Mus musculus: one gene and its partner. The protein of the gene in region 2 interacts with the protein of the main gene of each other region in a biochemical or structural test. Links are inferred from orthologs where the notes say so. Each region holds a gene or a part of one and is shown on either strand. Other genes may lie near its edges.

What was found.
Region 1: the proteins of Zeb1 (region 2) and Usp51 form a complex in vitro, tested with the Homo sapiens proteins (2 studies listed by BioGRID). The link is inferred for Mus musculus from reciprocal best matches to the Homo sapiens genes ZEB1 and USP51.

Annotation. Positions count from the first base shown.
Region 1 is NC_000086.7:153,003,138-153,013,372, forward strand, and holds Usp51 (ubiquitin carboxyl-terminal hydrolase 51), read left to right. Parts: upstream 1-3,331; 5' UTR 3,332-3,407; intron 3,408-4,151; 5' UTR 4,152-4,274; coding exon 4,275-6,260; 3' UTR 6,261-6,324; downstream 6,325-10,235.
Region 2 is NC_000084.6:5,769,255-5,778,513, reverse strand, and holds the end of Zeb1 (zinc finger E-box-binding homeobox 1), read right to left. Parts: intron 8,131-9,259; coding exon 7,950-8,130; intron 6,086-7,949; coding exon 5,448-6,085; 3' UTR 3,046-5,447; downstream 1-3,045. UniProt on the Homo sapiens protein: Acts as a transcriptional repressor. Inhibits interleukin-2 (IL-2) gene expression. Enhances or represses the promoter activity of the ATP1A1 gene depending on the quantity of cDNA and on the cell type.

The DNA of each region.
Region 1 (10,235 bases), on a different chromosome or scaffold from region 2:
TTATGAGTTTGACAGAAAATCAAGCAAGATGGACAGATTCTCAAGTCAGAAGGAAGGTACCCCTATTCACCGAACTCTAGACCTCCAACTCAGGGACACAGCATCCTGATTTCTATCACCACTTCCAGCTACTCCACTGGAATCCAAGGCAGCAAAAGCTGCAAGGACTTTGTATCAGGTGCACTAAGGGGGGATGGTGGTCATTAATCTGCCTCCCCACACCCTGCCATGAGACACCATGGTCCCACTCAAACCAGAGACCTCTGAGTGATCCTGGATTTGTCACACTGAACCAATACTCAATGTTGTTCCTCTCTTCCACTGCTCTGTGGCAACAGCAGTTTGCATTGCTGGATTAGAAGATTACAAAGAGAGTATGTGGTCACTGGCCATGATCTGAATCTCTAAGGCCTAGGATCGCCTGCCAGCTATAGTGGTGTTTCCCAGAACATCCCACCCCTGCAATATCCATCAATTCAATTGAATCACACCAACACTCTCCCCCTAGGTTTAGGTCAGGTCATTCATCTTGGAAGGTAACAATTGTCCTTGCCCTGAAGACTTTAATGAACCCAAGAACACAGGAAGCGAATGATTGCCAGGTATGACCCCACACACCTATCACCCTTGTGCCTGGAGAGAGAAGCAGGAGGCTTGTGAGCTCAAGGGCAGCTTGGGCCACACAGGATGCCTGCCATCTGTTCCAAGAAAGAAAAGAGAAAGGGTGCTAGATCCTTTGTCTTTAAATAAATATGACTCTTCTCACCCATGAGCACAGTGTAACGACTGGGCAGATGTCAAAGGGTCGGTCCACTTGCATTCATTCGGCCAGGCTCCATCACAGAGCATAGAGAGATCTGACCCAGCTAGCCGGGTGTCCACCTTGTACTCTTGGTACTGATATAAAGTGTTTGATTTGCTTACCTGGGATTCTGGGACCCTCAGACTGAAAGGTCATGGCCATTTCCTGTTTCCCTCACACCATGCAGGCACCAGCTTTGTTTTGTTGGGATATGGCGCTATGTGGTGGCAGCCATTGTTGTCTTCCGCAGAAATGATGTTGCCACGTCAGCCTGACTGTGCCATGATGTTTTAAAGTGCGGACACGAGGGATGTCTTTAACACTTGGAAGCACTGAAGATTAAAGCACACATGGGGCTGATAGGAAGTCATGTTTCTGATCTGTGGCTCCTCAAGTGGTTGCTCATCTCTGCAGACATCACGGGGGCCCTACTCTCTACCTCTCTTCTTTCATGTTATGTGGACAATGCCATCACATATTCATATAGCAAAAATAACTCACGTCTTCAAATCATACAGCTTCAGACCTTAAGGAGAGAAAATCACCCCATGTGAACCAGCCAAGTGACACACAATCATCTCCACTCCTGTAGCAAGAGCATGAATCTAGTTGTCCCACCTTTCACTTTAAAAGTCCAAAGACCCAGAAGCTTATAAAATCCCTTTCTCTTAGAAAGGCTGAACTCACACATCATATCATACAATATAATGTCTGCCGTTTTAAAGTGTGATGGACATTTCCCCCTTGTGGACAGCAGAGAGTAAGGATTAATCAATGCAAGGTTCTTGTCTGACAGAGCTGGCCACAGCCACAGAAAGTCATGGCATTTCTGAAGTCCTGGCTACCAGTGTCTGCACATCTACACCATGTTGGTCTTTGAAGCAAAATTGTTCCCACACACATCCCCCTTAATGGAGAGGATGTTAATTTGCTGGAGTCTCCAATGAGTGATGCAAGGAATCAGTCAAAGTGGCCTGGATAAGAGCAGTGTGCAAGCAAAGGTTAATGCTGAGAGAGACTTCACTCTGTTTTAACACTCTCTCTCTCTCTCTCTCTCTCTCTCTCTGTCTCTGTCTCTCTGTCTCTCTCTCCCTCCTACTCACACACAGGAGAAAGAGTAAGACAGAGGCAGAGCCAAAGAAACAGAGAGAAAGAGATGCAGAGAGGCAGAGAGATGGAGGACTATAGGTCCTGAAAGCAGCCTACTGCTGAAATGTCGTCATTTTGTATGTTTTATTATTCTACAAGTTTGGTTTGATCACTCCAAATTACAGTTAGACAGTTACATTATTTAAATTTTTGACCATCTTCCTGCTTCCCTTGTTTGAGTCACTGCTGTTTTAGAATGTGTCTGTGATATGTCAATCTGAAGCCTCTGTTTGTAATGTTCACATTCCTTGGATACAGACAAAAAGTCTGGGAAGTGGGTGGAATGTGTCCCTTTGGGCTCCCCATTCATACTACTGAACCATGGTTTTTAGTTATTCAACTTGGGATTGATCATACTGTTCCCATAATAAGTGTCAGGCCAGCTGTGGCTGCTATCTTCTCTTTGGGTTGGTTTCCTGAATGCATTGAGATAACTCTAGGAGTGGAGACCCAGGTTGGAATAGGGAAGTGTGATAGATTTCAGTAGGAAGAATTTTTTAACTGATTCTGAAACAATGTGGCAAATATTTAGATATATATTTTCCTGATTCCAGTCTTTTTTATTTGCATACTTCTCCCACAATTTTTGTGCCACTGTATGTGGGTATATGTGGAGAGAACTTGATAAAATATTTCTGAGTTCTGGAAAGATCTCTGTGAGGCCGATCACCCTCTTCCGGGTTTACACATTCACCCATAGCATTGTTCTTAAGTGTGCTGACGCCCTGCAATGTGCTACTTAGTGATTTTAACCTGAACACCCAATACTAGGGTTACTAATATAAGGGGTGACCAAAAGTATATGTTGCCACTCTGTGTAAACATCTTAGGATCTTTCACCTTTGACCGATGAGCTCTAAGTGTTTACAGTTTATCCCTGTAGGAACAGCATGTTGCTGGGCTGAGGTCTATTTTATCCTGAATCATATGCGTATTTTTCCTCTCCCCAACACTCAGAAATAATAACCTCTCCACTTTACTCTTGAGATTTTAATTTTAAAGCTTCCGGAAGGAACACTGTAGAATTTGCCATCTTAGTGAATCCCTAACCCTACCTTGGTTAGTTTTGTTGTTGTTGTTTCAGGGTTTTTTTTTTCCCCCGTTCTTTCTATTTTTTTTCTTTTTTTTCTTTCTTTTTTTTTTTTCTTTTTAAGAGTGCCATAACCAGATGAAGCCTGAGCCTTCCCAAGATCTTTTACTAAAATCTGTGGCTGTTGTTACCTCTGGTAGAATCCCTTTCAGAAGGGGTTTTTCTGCCTAGGGGGACAGCGGTACTATTCATCCCTGCTGGAGGCCTGATTCCGGGGCTGGGGGCCCATACGTGGAGAGGGGAGGGGCCAGGGGGCGGCCCCCTTGTGACCAGCCCCGAAGAGAGGTCATAGAGAAGACTGGCAGAGGAGCGCCTGGACAGCAGCAGCAGCTGACTTTCTAGATGAAGCGCGCCTTGGGGCCCCAGGTAACAAACCCAGACCTTTTTACAAATCCGCGGGCTTGGGGAGCTGCGGTGGTTGCGGGGAGGGAGCATGCACTTTGGGGGTCGCGTACTGTGGATGGGGGTGGTCACGCGTGAAGGGAGTCTGAATTCTGGGGGAAACCCTAGGAAATGAGAGGACAGGAGCAAGAAACGGGGTGTGAGGGCACAGGCACGAAAGAGCAAGAGAGGGCGCTCGAGCGTGGCACACAGCAAGCGCGCTTAGGAGTAGAGGCTGGAAGCATAGGTAAGAAAGGAGGCAGGGGACACTTTCGTCCACTGAGTCAGTTTTTTTTCAAAGATAACCTCCTTTCAGCCATATTTAACATACATTGTTGACTCGAGGGGTTTAAAGATGCAAGGAAAGAACGTAGAAAAAGGTGCGCCAAAGCGAGGCTGCACAGAGCGCCGAAAAGACAGCGGGTTATGCCTTTTTAAAAGAGTTGCCATCCTTTTCACCCTAAAGCTCAGGACAGTCCCCTTCCCCCCTCCTTCCCCGGTACCAGCAGTTCTGGCGGCCTTTGGAGCAGGTAGCCGCGGGCTCGGGCTCGGCACGCCACGCGAGCCCCCGGTGCAGGGGCGGAGCCGCGGCCGCGCGCGGGGCTCGCGGCAGGGGGAGGGGCTGAGGCTAACGGCACCGCGGCCATGACGCCGGGCTGGCCGTCCACACGAGTTCCTGTCTCCCTCCACCCATAGTCATAGCTCATTCCCAGACGCGTTTCTTCCCAGGCTTGGGAGTGAGCCGATGGCCCACGTTCGAGAAGCGTCCCGGTCCTCCCGCTCTGTCGCCTGTTGGAGTTCGGGAGGTGGTCGAGGAGCCTGTCTGGAGCAGGCAGCTGAGAGTGCATCGAGATGCGGGGTACACAGGGAGCCCAGGAGATGAAGCCGGAGCTGTGGCCGGAGCCCAAGCCCACGTCGGAGAACTTAACAAGTAGGGGCAGTGGCAGCTATGAGAAGGTGCTCCCTTCTATCCCGGCTGCTTGTCACACCAGCTCCAGCTCGGTTTGCCCGCGCCGCAAGCCCCGCCCTCGGCCCCAGCCCAGGTCCCGCTCCAGGGGAGGGCGTGGGCTCAAGGCCCCACCCCCGCCTCCCGCCAAACCTCCGCCTCCCCCGCCAGCGCCGCCACCTCCACCCCTGCCCAAGCAGCGGTCGGTGGCCTGGCGCAATTCCAGACGTAGATCCAGGCCTGGACCCAGACCCCAAACACGGAAAAGCTACTCTAGTGACCATGGCTCCTCTAGGGATTCAGATGGCTCAGAGAACAGTTTACTGGAGGTAGGGTCTAATAAGGGTCCCACAGGCTGCTGTCATGTAGAGAGCTTTAAAGTAGCTAAAAACTGGCAGAGAAACCTGCGGATGATCTATCAGCGTTTCATTTGGAGTGGAACCCCGGAGACTAGGAAACGTAAGGCAAAGTCATGCATCTGTCAAATATGTAGTACTCACAAGAACAGACTCCACTCTTGTCTGTCCTGTGTATTTTTTGGATGCTTTACTGACAAACATATTCACATTCATGCCGAAACAACGCAACACAATTTAGCAGTAGACCTCTGTCATGGGGTTATATATTGCTTTATGTGTAGGGATTATGTATATGACAAAGATATAGAAAAGATCGCCAAAGAAACAAAAGAAAAAATTCTGGGACTGTTATCATCCCCTACAGGAGATGCATCTTATCAGCAGTTGATGGCATCTGAGGTGGAAGAAAACCAATTAACCTGCGAGTCAAAAGATCAGGAGACCAGTTTGGTAAAACCCAAGAAAAAGAGGAGGAAAAAGACAATGTATTATACTGTAGGCTTCAGAGGATTAATTAATCTTGGTAATACTTGCTTTATGAATTGTATTGTCCAAGTACTTACTCACATTCCGCTACTGAAAGAGTTCTTCCTTTCAAATAAGCACAAATGTATGATGACAAGCCCCAGCTTGTGTTTAGTCTGCGAGATGTCTTTACTTTTTCAAGCTATGTACTCGGGGAACCAAAGTCCTCATATTCCCTATAAATTACTACACCTGATATGGATCCATGCAGAGCATCTAGCAGGCTACAGACAACAGGATGCTCAGGAGTTTCTTATTGCCATATTGGATGTGTTGCATAGACACAGCAGAGATGATGGTATCGACCAGGAAGGTAACTCCAACTGCTGTAATTGCATCATAGATCACATCTTTACAGGTAGTCTGCAGTCAGATTTAACATGTCAAGTTTGTCATGGTGTCTCTACTACCATAGACCCATGCTGGGACATTAGCTTGGATTTGCCTGGGCCTTATACTCCAGGGAGGGCTAGTAGTAGCACATCGAGTAGGGATGGCCAGAAGCCACGAGTCATCTCACTTACAGATTGCCTGAAGTGGTTTACAAGGCCCGAAGACCTGGGTAGCAGTGCCAAAATCAAATGCAGTCAATGCCAAAGCTACCAGGAATCTACCAAACAGCTCACAATGAAGAAATTACCGATTGTGGCCTGCTTTCACCTGAAAAGATTTGAACATTTAGGCAAACAGAGACGAAAGATTAATAGTTTTATCTCGTTTCCTTTGGAGCTGGACATGACCCCGTTCTTGGCTTCTACTAAAGAAAGCATAATGAAAGGCCAGCCATTAACAGAGTGTGTACCCAGTGAGAATAAGTATTCTTTGTTTGCAGTAATTAACCACCATGGAACTTTGGAAAGTGGCCATTACACCAGTTTTGTCCGACAGGAAAAAGACCAGTGGTTCAGCTGTGATGATGCTGTAGTCACCAAGGCTACAATGGAAGAATTACTCAATAGTGAAGGGTATCTACTGTTCTATCATAGGCAAGATATAGAGAAAGAATAATCTCATCCAGAATGATTTCCAGACCAAAAAAAATTTAAAAAGTGAAAAAGAAGAGAAAACAAAAAAGAAAAAGACAAAGAGACAACACAAGCCTACCAGGATGGACAATTGTAATGCCATTACAACAACAAGCACCTCTTAAAAGAAACACAAAAATCTACCTGGAGTGGACAATGACCATATATGACAAGTGGCACTTTGGCATAAAGGAACTATTTTACCCTGTCCCATAAGTCTATGGGAGGAAGACATTGAATTTTCAATCGGTGACCATTAGCCTTAAGAACTGGGGGGGGGGGGGGGGTTCAGAGGGAGGAGAGGTTGAAAAGGTCACATAAAGCAAATTAAATGAAGTCTCAACATGTAGGAGGATCTTCTCAAATTACATTTTATTTCTTTAAAGATATTGTGTTAAGTGGGGGGGTATATTTTAAGAATGGGGTTTTTCATTGATTGTAGTTATAGTTTTGAGTGTACAGAGTAGTCTGGAGAAAACCAAATATTTTAAACAAAAAACTTTAAAGCTTTAAAAGAAAACAATTAAGAAACACTTTTGAAGGTTTTAAGAGAACATTTTAAATGTTAAAAATTTAAGTTAAGTATTTTAGAAGAAATATTTTTAAATGTTTTTAATTTAAAATTATTCCAAATTGTTAGTATGTAAAAATAGAGTATGGAAATAGAGTATTCTAAAAATTTTCTAAAATTTTGCAAGTTAAGATGAAACATGAACATTTCTAAGGTGGTTAGTGAAAAAAAAACCACTAACTTAAAATCAGTAAGGGAAAATTTTAGAAAGTGAAAACATTTGGATTCTAAATATTTAAAGCATAAAATATATGCATTGGAAAGACCAAAATTTACAAAAATTATACCTATAATAATATAAAAAGTAAAATTTCAAGGTATATAGAACAAAATGAAATTTTAAGTTAAATTCAGGAAAGGAGATTTAAAAGAAGAAAGTTTAGAACTATTCAAGGGAACAGGTAATTAGTTTTAAAGATTTCAATTTTTTAGATATTAAGAGAGAACCTTCTGTAAATTCAACTGCAGAGATTTCAGTATAAAAACCAACTTTTAAGTTTAAAAAGAATATTCTCATACAAACTGACACCTGAAAAAAACATGTAAATAAGATCATATTTGGAAGGTGAAAGTTTTATTTTGTACTTTAGCACATTGAAATATAGATGGATATAAAAGAGATAAATGATAGAGCGAGAAGACAAAATGGTTTGTGAACATATGTATTTTTTTAATCTTATGTCAATGCAGATAACTATATCGGAAAAAGGTAATGCCATCAAGATTTTTCCCATTTAGAACTCATTATTAGAACATCTTTAGCTTCTGAAAGAAGGCTTTTAATAATTTTGTGGCTTAGAGAAATTAGATCATAACTGTGAAGCTTTGGCTTTTGGTGTTTTAGCCCCATGGTCTGGCTGAAAAAGTGGCAGGGACCCTTAACTGAGGAAACTCCCACCCTCTCTGCCTTCAGTCTTTTGTCTCATGGGGAAACAAGATATTTTCATTTCTACAGTAGAACTCTGAGTTTGTGTTTAACGGTCCTGCTAATTCCTTATCCCTCTTCATGCCCACCCCCCCACCCCCACCCCACCCCCATTCCTCCTTCCCTGAATCCCACACTTCCCTGGCCTTATCCCAGCCTGCAAGGATCCTTTCTTAGTGAATACCTGGTGATTTCATTCCTTCAAGACTAACTCCCAGATGACTTCTCTGGAACCATCCCTGGATCCCCTATGCAGGCGTAAAATAGATAGTCCCCATCCCCATCTCTCCTATGTGCCTCCAAAGTACTTCGTCTATACCTCGATGAATAATACTTATTCGACTGTGATTCTACTGTAGCATTGTGATTGTCTACCTCTCTGCACCAGACCCTGAGAGCAGAGGGACAAGCCTTATTCACTTTTTGTGTTAATAAATGTTTGTTGAATGCAAAAGCAAGTTTCATTATTTGCTCTGTTCACCCTGTTAGGAATCCATTTTTCCACATTTCACCAAGCTCTCATTAAATGCCCAGTGTTGCAATACAATATGATAAAGCTTCCTCCCCACCCCACCCCCAGAGACAGTGTATGAAATGCTCCTTAGCTTTTTGGGGAATAGCTTAACAAAATATATACTCACTGAGAGAATAATCAGGAGTTGGGGAGGGAGAGAGAACCAGAAATAATAATAGAGGGAAAAGCACCCAGCCCTGGAAGACTGGATGGACAGTGGGGACCACCACCTGAAGGAGAAGCTGAGCTCTCTGGTATGTATATGACAACATCACTATCACAGTTTCCCACACCTTCCCACGATGAGGCAGTGTATCTTACCACTCCACTGCAGAGTTTTATATCATACTGTGTCATGACTTCGCAGCAGAAAAGTGACATCTGGTGGCTGTAGTTTGTCTGTTTAGCACTTTGTTCTTCCACAATTCTTTGTGGTCTAGATGAGAGTTTGTATACTGGCTGGTTTTGTGTGTCAACTTGACACAAGCTAGAGTCATCAGAGAGGAAGGAGTCTCAGCTGAGGAAATACCTCCATGAGATCCAGCTGTAAGGCATTTTATTAGCTAGTGATCAATGAGGTGTGGGGAGCTTGGCCCATTATGGGTGGTGCCATCCCTGGCCTGGTGGTCCTGGGTTCTATAGGAAAGCAGGCTGAGCAAGCCAGTAAGCAGTATCCCACTGTAGTCTCTGCATCAGCTCCTCCTTCCAGGTTTGAGTTCCTGTCCTGACTTCCTTTGGAGATAAACAGCAATGTGGAAACGTAAGCTGAGTAAACCCTTTCCTCACCAACTTGCTTTTTGGTCATGGTGTTTCATCACAGCAATAGAAACCCTAAGACAGTGTGAATCCCTTTGCCCTGACACTTCCTCTGCATAGTGAGCCCATCACTCAACATAGGCCATGTTAATTTTCAGTCTTCTCACACAACAGGAAAGCTGTTTGGTTCCTGGCAGTTGGAAAGCAAAATAGAAACCAGCAGGGGCCAGGAGCTCTGTATCTCCAAAGGAAGTCAGGGCAGGAACTCAAACAGGACTGTTACCTGGAAGCAGGAGGTGATGCAGAGACCCTGGTAAGATACTGCCTCCTGGAGTATGCCCCAGTGGTATAACTTCCTTCTACTAAACCTCCTAAAGGTTTCACAACCTCCCAGTGACTATAGACTAATGGCCAGTGACTTTAAGATGCATGTACTTTTGGAGGACATTTAACTGCCAAACCATAACAACCTGTTAGCAGTTATTACCTAAAGGTAATGTGGCAAATAGCAAGAATCCTAACGTAGTTCCTAACTTGCAGAAACTTGGCCTGTATTTTAGTCTGCCTGTGTTGTTGTAATAAAATGCCCAAGCCAGAGCAATTTTAAAGAATAGAACTTTGTTCTTACAGTTCTTGAGACTAGGAAGTCCAAGACCAAGGTGCCATTAAGGCTGATGTCTGGGTAAGGGCTGTGTTTTTTGTCACGATGCTGCTATCTTGGTCCAAAGATGAGAACATCCTGTTCTCAATTGGTGGACAGAGCCCAAAAGCCACTGAGGACTTAGCAGGTCGCAGTCAGCCTTAAGAGCACTAATTTATGCATGATGGCTGAACATTTTGACCTGTTCTCCAAAGGGCCATGCTCATTAGTACTATTGAATTGAAGATTAACTTTCAATGTATAAATATTTGTGATTCAGACTGTAGCAGTCCGTAGGCTATGCACTCACTGTCTGTATAAGAGTCTACAAAGGCTACTTCTGATCACATGGTTCTAGCTGCCACAACCAACCGCATGAAAGACTTATTGGTTTCAAATGAGAATGCTTAGTTTCAGTGAACACAGACAAAGCTCTGGTTACAGAAGCACTGGAAAGGAACCCCAAGCCATGCTATGATCTCTTGGATTGTAGTCACTTGTTAATATTAATTCATCTTTCCCTTAGAGCAGAGGTTCTCAACTTGTGTGTCT
Region 2 (9,259 bases):
TTCATATTCTTCATCTATGGCTATTCTCACACTCAGTAAATTATTGTGACTATTGTGGCATCATAAAACTACACATTCCAACTCCTCCAAAGTTGTTCCTTTTCAAAATTATTTTCTTAAAGTCCTTTGTTCTTCCACAAAACTTCAATATGTAGTTGACATTTTGATTAGAACAGCATTCTGTCAGTAGTTACATCATTGTGTCAGTAGTTACGTCATTGTGACAGTAGTTATGTCATTGTGACAGTAGTTATGTCATTGTGTCAGTAATTACATCATTGTGTCAGTAGTTACATCATTGTGTCAGTAGTTACATCATTGTGTCAGTAGTTACATCATTGTGTCAGTAGTTATGTCATTGTGTCAGTAGTTATCTCATTGTGTCAATAGTTACCTTGGTAAAACTTTTCTTAATACTGTCTTCATCTGATTCACAAACATGGAATTTTATTTTCTTTGCATTTTTAATTTATTTCAGTAATATTTTGGAGCTTTCAGTGCACAGGTCTTGTTTGAATCTTTTAAAGTATCACCAAATATTTTCATTTTTAATGGAACTGTGTCTATGTGTAAATTCCCACATCTAGAATTATTTGGGAGAAAGTGACTGAATTCTCATAACTTCTTGACCTTTCCTTAAAAATTCCTTGTTTCCTCTGTAGACAACTAGGCTGACTGCAGGTAACATACTGCTGCAGTCTGTCCTTAAAGGACCCAGCCTAAGGTTTAGCCAGTGTAACCTTCTGGTCTTGCTCCTCATCTGGAGGAAGGTGTGGGCCTTTCACACTGGTGTTTTACTTGTAGAGGTTTTGAAGATGACAATTATTACAGAGATCACCTCCTACTTTTAGACTGCTGGTAATTTCTGGCTTGCTGTTGAAGGTTTTACTGATTTATTTATTGATTGTTTCTCTTTCACTTCTGAGATAATCAGAATCTCCAAGCACTCTTAAGTACACTGTTAGTGGGAGTAACACTACTTGACTTTTGGGGATGCTCCATGAATCTTGAAGTTTTAGGGAAAAATCACACGTAATCATGATTCATTTTTCCTGTTGATAAAGTGTTCAAAGTAATGTCCTAATATTCAGTTGAAGGTCTTTCCATCTATTTTCTTGAGGAATTTAAGTCTGTAGCTCTTGTATTGAAATGCCCTTGTTGATCTGAGCTTCACAGGCAATTGGAGAAGGAGATGATTTGTGTAGAATTGGTACAACTTTTTCAAATGTATGAAACAAAAAAATCACCAGTAGCAACACCTGCTGTGAATCCTCTTTTGTAGGACGCTTTTGGCAATCAATTTAGTTTTGATTGCACTTAGGTTATTTCTGCATGAGCTTTGGTAATTATGGCCTTCCAAGCAATGTGGCACTTTTCCCCAAGCTGTCAGAAACATGGACATGCAGTTATTCCTTCTGTATCTTACTCTGTAGGGTCTGTAGATGGCTTTTCTTTGTTTCTGTCAAGATTGGCAATTTGTCTCTTCTATCTACCTCGGACTGTATGGCTAGAAATCTACCTTTTCAGAGGTTGACTTGGTTTACATGGCTTTTTTATGTCACGGTTTTCTCTTTTCCTTATTATCGGCTCTCTCCTGTTTTGTGTTTTACTTGTACAGTTTGAGGTGGAGGCTTGTATGAGTCCTTTGTTCTCTCCTGTTGTCAGCATTTAACACTGTGCCTTCTCTTGTACATATCACTTAACTTTATACTACAATTTTTGACATAAGATGCCATCATTGTGAGTCATATTTTTCATCAGGAACAACTTGATATGGCTTTGTAATAATTTAGATGATTTAAAAATGTATTTATTACTGATCTATGGGTGTTTTAAAACAATTTTATGATTAGTTTATGTGTGTGCATGAATGGCATGCAAATGCTGGTCTGAGGACAATATTAGAGTTGGTCTTCTCCTTCCACTGTGGGTTCTGGGATTCTGGAGTGCTAGGGATGGAACTCAGGTCGTCAGGCATTCTGGGTGTTTTTTTTTTAACCACTGAGTAGTTAGGCTGGTTTCCATCTCAAAAGTGAGAATTCTGTTATGCCCTATGTTTTTTCCCTGTAAATGACCCAGGAGTTATTGAGGTAAATAAATGTGTGTTCTGGGTGAATTTGTCTTTACTGGGCAGAGGTGTGTCTGTAGGTCTGAAGTTCTGTCAGAGGTAGAATTAATACATGGTTGCTTTAATATAGCTTCCCGGTGATCTCAGGTGGAATCCAGGATTAGATTTCTCTGTGAGTTTAACCCCTTTCCCTCCCTTAGGCTATCTTTCAAGTTTGCACTGGAAACTGAGAACAATCCCAAGTCTCCACCTTCCTCTGCCAGGATGCATGCTGCTCTCAGGGGTATTTTCTATTCCTCTTGCCTAGGGCTAGGCCAGGAGAATCCACCTCAACATGACATGTGATGCAGGCTGGACAGAGACATGTCCTTGGAGTCAGACAGGTCTGTGTGCAGAGCCCCATTCTACGTCTTCTTCATGTGGCTATGGCCATATGGCTTTCCCAGGTAGTTTTAAGGCTCTCTGAAACATAATCTTGATAAAAGCAGCAAGGCAGATGCATCTCAGGACACCAATGCCACTCTTTCCTGGTGTGAGGGGGCACTGGAAAGACCTGCTCCCTGATAATGTGGTTAGTTTCATTAGCCTTCTAGGCTCACGGATGAGGCACCATCTTCTCCAAGATTTACTTTCATGAGTAGTGGACATCCCCTAAGAATGGTACTTTAGCATCTCATAACCTTTACAGTACATTTTTTTTTTGGTATAGCTGGTGTTAGGGACAGGAAATTAGGCAGTCTGCTGACAGTGGACACAGGGGAAGTAAGGGCTGTGGTGTGGGAAGATGGGGAGCACACAAGATTGTAAGAATGTGGGGTCCTGGCATAGGATGTGTGTCCTAACTCTGTCAGAACCAGGTCTATCAAGTATTTTCGAGGTAGTCCCTCCCTGAGCTTTCAATGCCTGTACCCCGTACCATAAACTTGAGCACCCGAAAGACACCTAGAAATAAGCTCTCCACACATCACAACAACAGAGCAGCTTCCAAGGCAGTCATTTATTACATCTCCTATGGTAAGTGCCTATAAGACTCAAACAAGACCACCGGCACATTATGGGAATCATTTACCTTATGAACTTTCAGATTAGAGGCAAAACAGTGAGCACAGCTAAGCTCTGCAAATGTGCAGTTTCTGTGTTCATTCAATGAATGTCTGTTGAGAGGCAGTTCATGGGCAGGGGGCACATGAGGCATGACCATGACATGGGGAGGAACATCAGTGACAGTCCTTGAGCTGAATGAGAAGGGTTCAAAGAGTGGCAGAGTACAAGCAAAAAGCATCTTAAGCTTGCACAGCCCTGATGTTCCCTGAGGGGAAGGCTCTTGCTCTGTGGGTTTTGGAAGAAGGGACAACCTGTGCAGAGGGCTTCCTCAGGGAATTTCCCCCACAGGAAAAGGCATTCTTTGTGCTAAGTGTCTCAAATACTTTGTGTCAACAAACTCAGCTCAAGATGAATGAAGCTCTAGGATGTAATGCCCACTTCATAGACAATTTTCCAAAGGAAATTTGATGATCCAAAGAACGACAGCAGGTCAGGTTTGTTGATGCGTTTATTGTGAGCTGGGGAGTCTGGTAAAAAACTAGAAAATGACCATGGTGTAACAAGGAACTTAAAAGGAAGAGTCAGATTGGTAGCTTACATACATGGATACAGGAACAAATTGGCACATGTTAAACATTGTTCCCAACACTGTTTACAGAAGGCAATTCTAATTTGGCTTGCTAAGGGAATGAGTTATGGCTGGGCCAACTCTTAACAGAAGACTGCAGAGCGGCATGCTATGAGTCGCACACAGTGAGTGTCAAAGTGTAAGAGTTTCCTATTAAAAACTGGGGAAAGGGAGAATGACTTGATTGTAGTTGTAAAACTAATACCTTCCCATTTAAAGGCTGGTCTACAGTCGGAGGCAAGTATAAATGTTAACAGAACACTGTTAAATCAAATCTCAACGCACGGGAACCAACTGCATCTCTACTGTAAATCTTAGCAACTTTCCAAAATTTCATACTAAAATATATTATTGTATTAATACAAACTACAGTATTATACACTACACTGTGTAATAAATAAAGAAATATAAAAATAAGACACATAAATATAAAAGTTTTCTAAAACTAAAAGTACGTGTCAGTAAGAAGGGTATTAATACTGCCAGGCTTAAAGACATACAGTACAAAAATGTTGCACAGATCTATAAACTAAAAGAAATAAAATAATACTGGTAGGTAAAAATCAGCTGCTGTTGTTCATCACCTGGGTCCGTAATAACTAACATTTGGAAAACGGCTGTGAACCAAAAACCAATAGCGTATCCATGCCTGACACGCAAGTACATGGATTAAGTAGTTTGGAGAATTTCCCTTTTATTTCTGTAGAGACTTCTGAGAGTCAATCAACATGAAATGACTACTGAGGAACAAAAGTGTGAGATGCCCCAGTGCTTCAGCTTCTCTCACAGTCAGTGGTTTTGAGTTTTGTTTGGGAATTTTGACACAACAAACGAATCAACAACTGCTAGTTAATATAGGCCACACTGCGGGAAGGCTGTCAGAGCCTTGCAATACTGAGAATGGCACTTAGAGCACAGGTCTTGCTTAAGGCCAAAGGGACACAGCGCTTGCTTCCTATAGATCCTTCATGGTTGCTAACGTACGCAAACAATCACGAACACTGATTCTGCCGCCTCTGCCGGCCTTGCCACATCAACACTGGTCGTCCCTGGAGTCAGGACTCAACGACAACCTTTGAACTCCATTTAAAAATCACACGAGTAAGAAACTCCAGCTCTTCTCTGGCTGCTTCCTTAAGGCTAGCAATACATGTTAGATGGCAACACGGCATCTAACGTCAGAGGTCCTATCTCCTGACTGACTGGGTAGCAGCAGGTAGCCAGCACGGTTTGAACTGCTTTCTACTGCTCTGTGAAGGGAATTCTGTAGTGCAGAAGTTCTCACATTTTAAAAAACATAATAAAATACTGAAGCGGATTTAGCATATGTTTACCAATAAAAAAATTATAAAATTTCTCCCATTGTAGAGCTTAAGAATGAGCCAACGTAAGAGTGATAATACTGCTAGCCATGCCGGACGCCCATCCAGCCTCCTGTAACCTGCTGAGAAACCTTTGTTTTCTGAGTCATTAATGTTTTCTAAGCTGCTTCATGTTATAAATTTGTTCCTAACTTTGAAAACTGCATGAAAAATTACTAGGTTTGAGGTTCAGGCACACCCGGAATTTTTTTTTTTTCAGTTCTGACATTACACAGTAGTGAGCAGGAACCATAGCACAGGAGCCATGGAGCCATGTTTCCATGAAAAGCGTGGGTAATATAGAGCAAATTTCATTACCAAGTAGAATTTCCTTTTAGAAGAACTCCTAAGCTTCATTTGTCTTCTCTTCAGACAGCTGCTCACTCTCGCTTTCGCTCTCCATCTCGCTCTCGCTGGCCTTCTGCTCTAAGCTGCCTGCCTGCTGTGCAGCTCCAACCTCCACTGTACCATCAGTCTTGGCTGCTGCCTCATGCTCGGCTTCATCCGCTTCCACTTCCTCCTCTTCCTCCTCTTCTTCCTCCTCTTCCTCCTCCTCCTCCTCCTCCTCCTCCCCCTGTGGGTTCTCACATTCCTTTCCTTCCTGTAATTCTTCCATCTCTTTATCTTCCTCCTCCTCCTCCTTTTCACTGTCTTCATCTTCTTCCCTTGTCAGACTTTCTCTCTCGTCCGAGTCAGCCTGTGAGGGAGACGCCCGGGCACCAACATGCTCAGTCGCCAGGACTTCCGGCAGGACTTCGGGCCCAGCGTCTTCCTGCTCCATAGCATCTCTGTCTTCAGCTCCTCTCTTGCAGTAGGAGTAGCGGTGATTCATGTGTTGAGAGTAGGAGCCGGAGTGTGAGAAGCGCTTGCCACACTTGTCACATTGATAGGGCTTTTCCCCAGAGTGCAGCCGCATGTGCTCAATCAAATGATGCTTGTGTTTAAATGCCTTTCTACAGATTCCACACTCGTGAGGCCTCTTACCTGCAAGGTAAGAACGCAGCTATGAAACAGAACACTGGCAGAAATAAACAGAGTGCTTGGGAGAATGAAGGGACATTCAGATTGTGCAAGGGGAGGGTCACAGTTCCATGGTCAAGAAACTGGCAGGTTCCCAATTGTACGATAATACTATGGTTCATTTTTTTCTATGTGAAAATTCAAGGTTATACACTGCTTTGCAGATGAGGCCAGTGCTAATTATAAAAGGTGGAAATGCCAAAAATTCATACATCAGGACCACATGGCAGAACATTTATAAGTGAGGCTCCCATGAGCCAGGGTGACAATCTCAGGAAGAGGGGCTTCCACGGCATTTTGATGTCTCACAGCTCTTTCTACTTATGGGCAAATTTTCACAAATGTAGAGCTGATGTGGAAATTCTTTATAACATCTAAAATAGCTTTTGCCCCACAAGGCTGCAATCTTGCCCCTCATGAGTGGGTGTGGCCTGAGCAACAGTGGATACACAGAGGACAGCTGGCATAATCAGGACTGGCTATTACCAACTACAGTGCTATGAGCCAGTCAACACTTAAAAATCCAGAAATTACTTTTGAAAATTTTTTTACAGCTAGGATGTCATTTTAATTTTGATATTACCAGTATTTAACTCTTTTTAAAGAATTAGGAGATTTCCTAATTATCTCAGTGAATATAAGTAGAGGGCTGTGGTCCCAAGCTTTTATTAGAGAGGTACAGCTTTCAACCTCAGCAGCCACCCAAGTGTCCCGCTTCTCTGCGTGTCTTCTCACCAGGGGAATGAGTTACCATTGTTGGTGAGAGGCTGAGGGTCTGTGTGTTGCTACTTCAACTGTAGGTAAGTGGCTGGTAAGGGCCAGGGAAAAGATCCTGGGGATTAGTTACGATGAAACCAGTCTTTCATCTAGCCATCTTGTTGGAGAGAAACTGGTTGGCTATGCAGCTCTTATCAGCTAGGAGCCTGTTGCTAAACTATGGGAATTCTGGAGTTGTTTGAAAGCTGTTCAGGCTTGAGGTCAGTCATGGACAGGGGTTGGTACATACTTCTTATCTGGACTTCCCAGGCCATAAAGACACACAAATTAGAATAGACCAGCATGGCTATGGAGAGAGGGAATTGGGAGGGGCACATCAGCAAACATCTTTCGTAAAAGCCCTCACTAGTAAAGTGTCTTGGGACCAGCTGGCCTTTATCCCCACTGTAATCAGCAACAGGCAAGTGAGGGATGACTGGGCAGAATAAAACATCATTTAGGATGCCAAAGTTTGACTTTTATCTTTAAAAAAATCCTTTTCAATCACAAAAAATGTAAAAGTCTAGTCTCGGCTCATAAGCATCAGAGAGCTAAGTGAAGCCTTGTTTGGTTTGCAAGACATTGTTTGTTGGTCCTAGATCAGCCTAAGGCCTGTGTATTTTGGGGAGAATTATAGAATCTTTGGGCTGAAGTGATCTTAAAATCAAGTTCAGTTTCTTATGCAGAAGTTCTTTCTAACAAAGCAAAGGTCTTTCCTTTTAAAACCTTTGGGTGACCAGGAGGCAAGCCTTGCACCAGGAGAGCTGGTGCTCACTGGCTGCTTTCTGGAGCTGAGTCCTCTTCCTGACACTTCAGCACCTTGTGTGCAGCAGAAGCTGAGATGCAAGGAATGAAGGTATGCAGAGCAAGTGCTCTGTCAGCATAGACACCAAGGCATTAAAGGCGAAACGGGAGTCTAGGCAGCAGACAGCCAAGCCACTGCTCCGCAGTAGGAATATGTGAAAAGTGGAGACCACGGAGCAGAGCTGAGAACGTCACACACTATGGGCATGTTTCATGTGCACTGGGCCACAGGCACCTTTAGAACCTCGTGCCCAGGTCCCCCACACACCTGTGTGCTCATATTTGTGTCTCAACAGTGAGCTGCTCTTCTGAAATATCTTGTCACACAGGTCACATGCATACATTCCATTCTCTGTCTTCCGAGTTTTCTTTTTGGGTGGCGTGGAGTCAGAGTCATTCTGGTCCTCCACAGTGGAGACTCCTTCTGAGCTAGTGTCTTGTCTTTCATCCTAAGTGGAAAAAGAAGATTAAATGTCAAAGAAAAAGATTCCCAAGAGATAAGGTCACTGAGATGGCTCAGCAGACAAAGCTATTTGCCACAAAGAAAGATGAGCAGAGTTGAATCCCTGGGATCTACACGGTGAAAGGAGAGAACTGACTCCCACAAGTTGTCCTCGGACCTCCACGTGTGAGAGCTGGCACACAAAGCACCCACTGCCAATAAGTCAATAAATGTAGGAAAGTCAAGAGATGCACAAGAGAGAAATTTCATGTTAGATGTGAAGCCCTCCACCTGAGCCCAGCGAGCACACACTACAGTGGCTACGGACAGCTCCCGGGGCACTAGTACTTACTACAAACAGGCCCAGAGAGACACAAGTGAGGCTGGGAACAACACAGAAAAGGGTATAGTGAAAACATTCTTCAACTGTACCAAAAAGAGAGGCCACCAGAAGAAGACATCAGATGGACAGCAGCCATATTTACTTTATTCTGGCAAATTATGATTTTAGAGTGGCTTTGCAGAAAGGTTTAATCAATGAGCTTGATAATTCACCACTCATTTCCAATTCATCATTTACTATGCTTTTCTTTTTTTCTTTTTTTTTTAAGATTTATTTATTTATTATATGTAAGTACACTGTAGCTGTCTTCAGACACTCCAGAAAAGGGAGTCAGATCTCGTTATGGATGGTTGTGAGTCACCATGTGGTTGCTGGGATTTGAACTCCGGACCTTCGGAAGAGCAGTTGGGTGCTCTTACCCACTGAGCCATCTCACCAGCCCTTACTGTGCTTTTCATAAAAATTCTGCGTTTCACTAAGAATTGAGACATAGTTTAGACAATGTCTTTAAAGTGTGTCCTTCATCCTGGAGGCCTTTGTACCAGCTCCCTTGGTCTGGCGAAGAGGGATTTGCTTTGGTCCATACTTTCCCTGGAATGAGGAGGAAAAGTGTGAGAGGGGCTGAGATTTTTAAATAGGAGTAGCTGTCTGTAAAAGAGAACCCTTACAATTTTCATAAAATACACAAGACATGACATAGAACCTCAAGATGGTCTCAGAGAAGTCACTTTCAGAAAAGGCGCTTTTCTCAATGGAATAGTCCTGCAGAGAGCCTCTTGAAGACTTAGGTCAC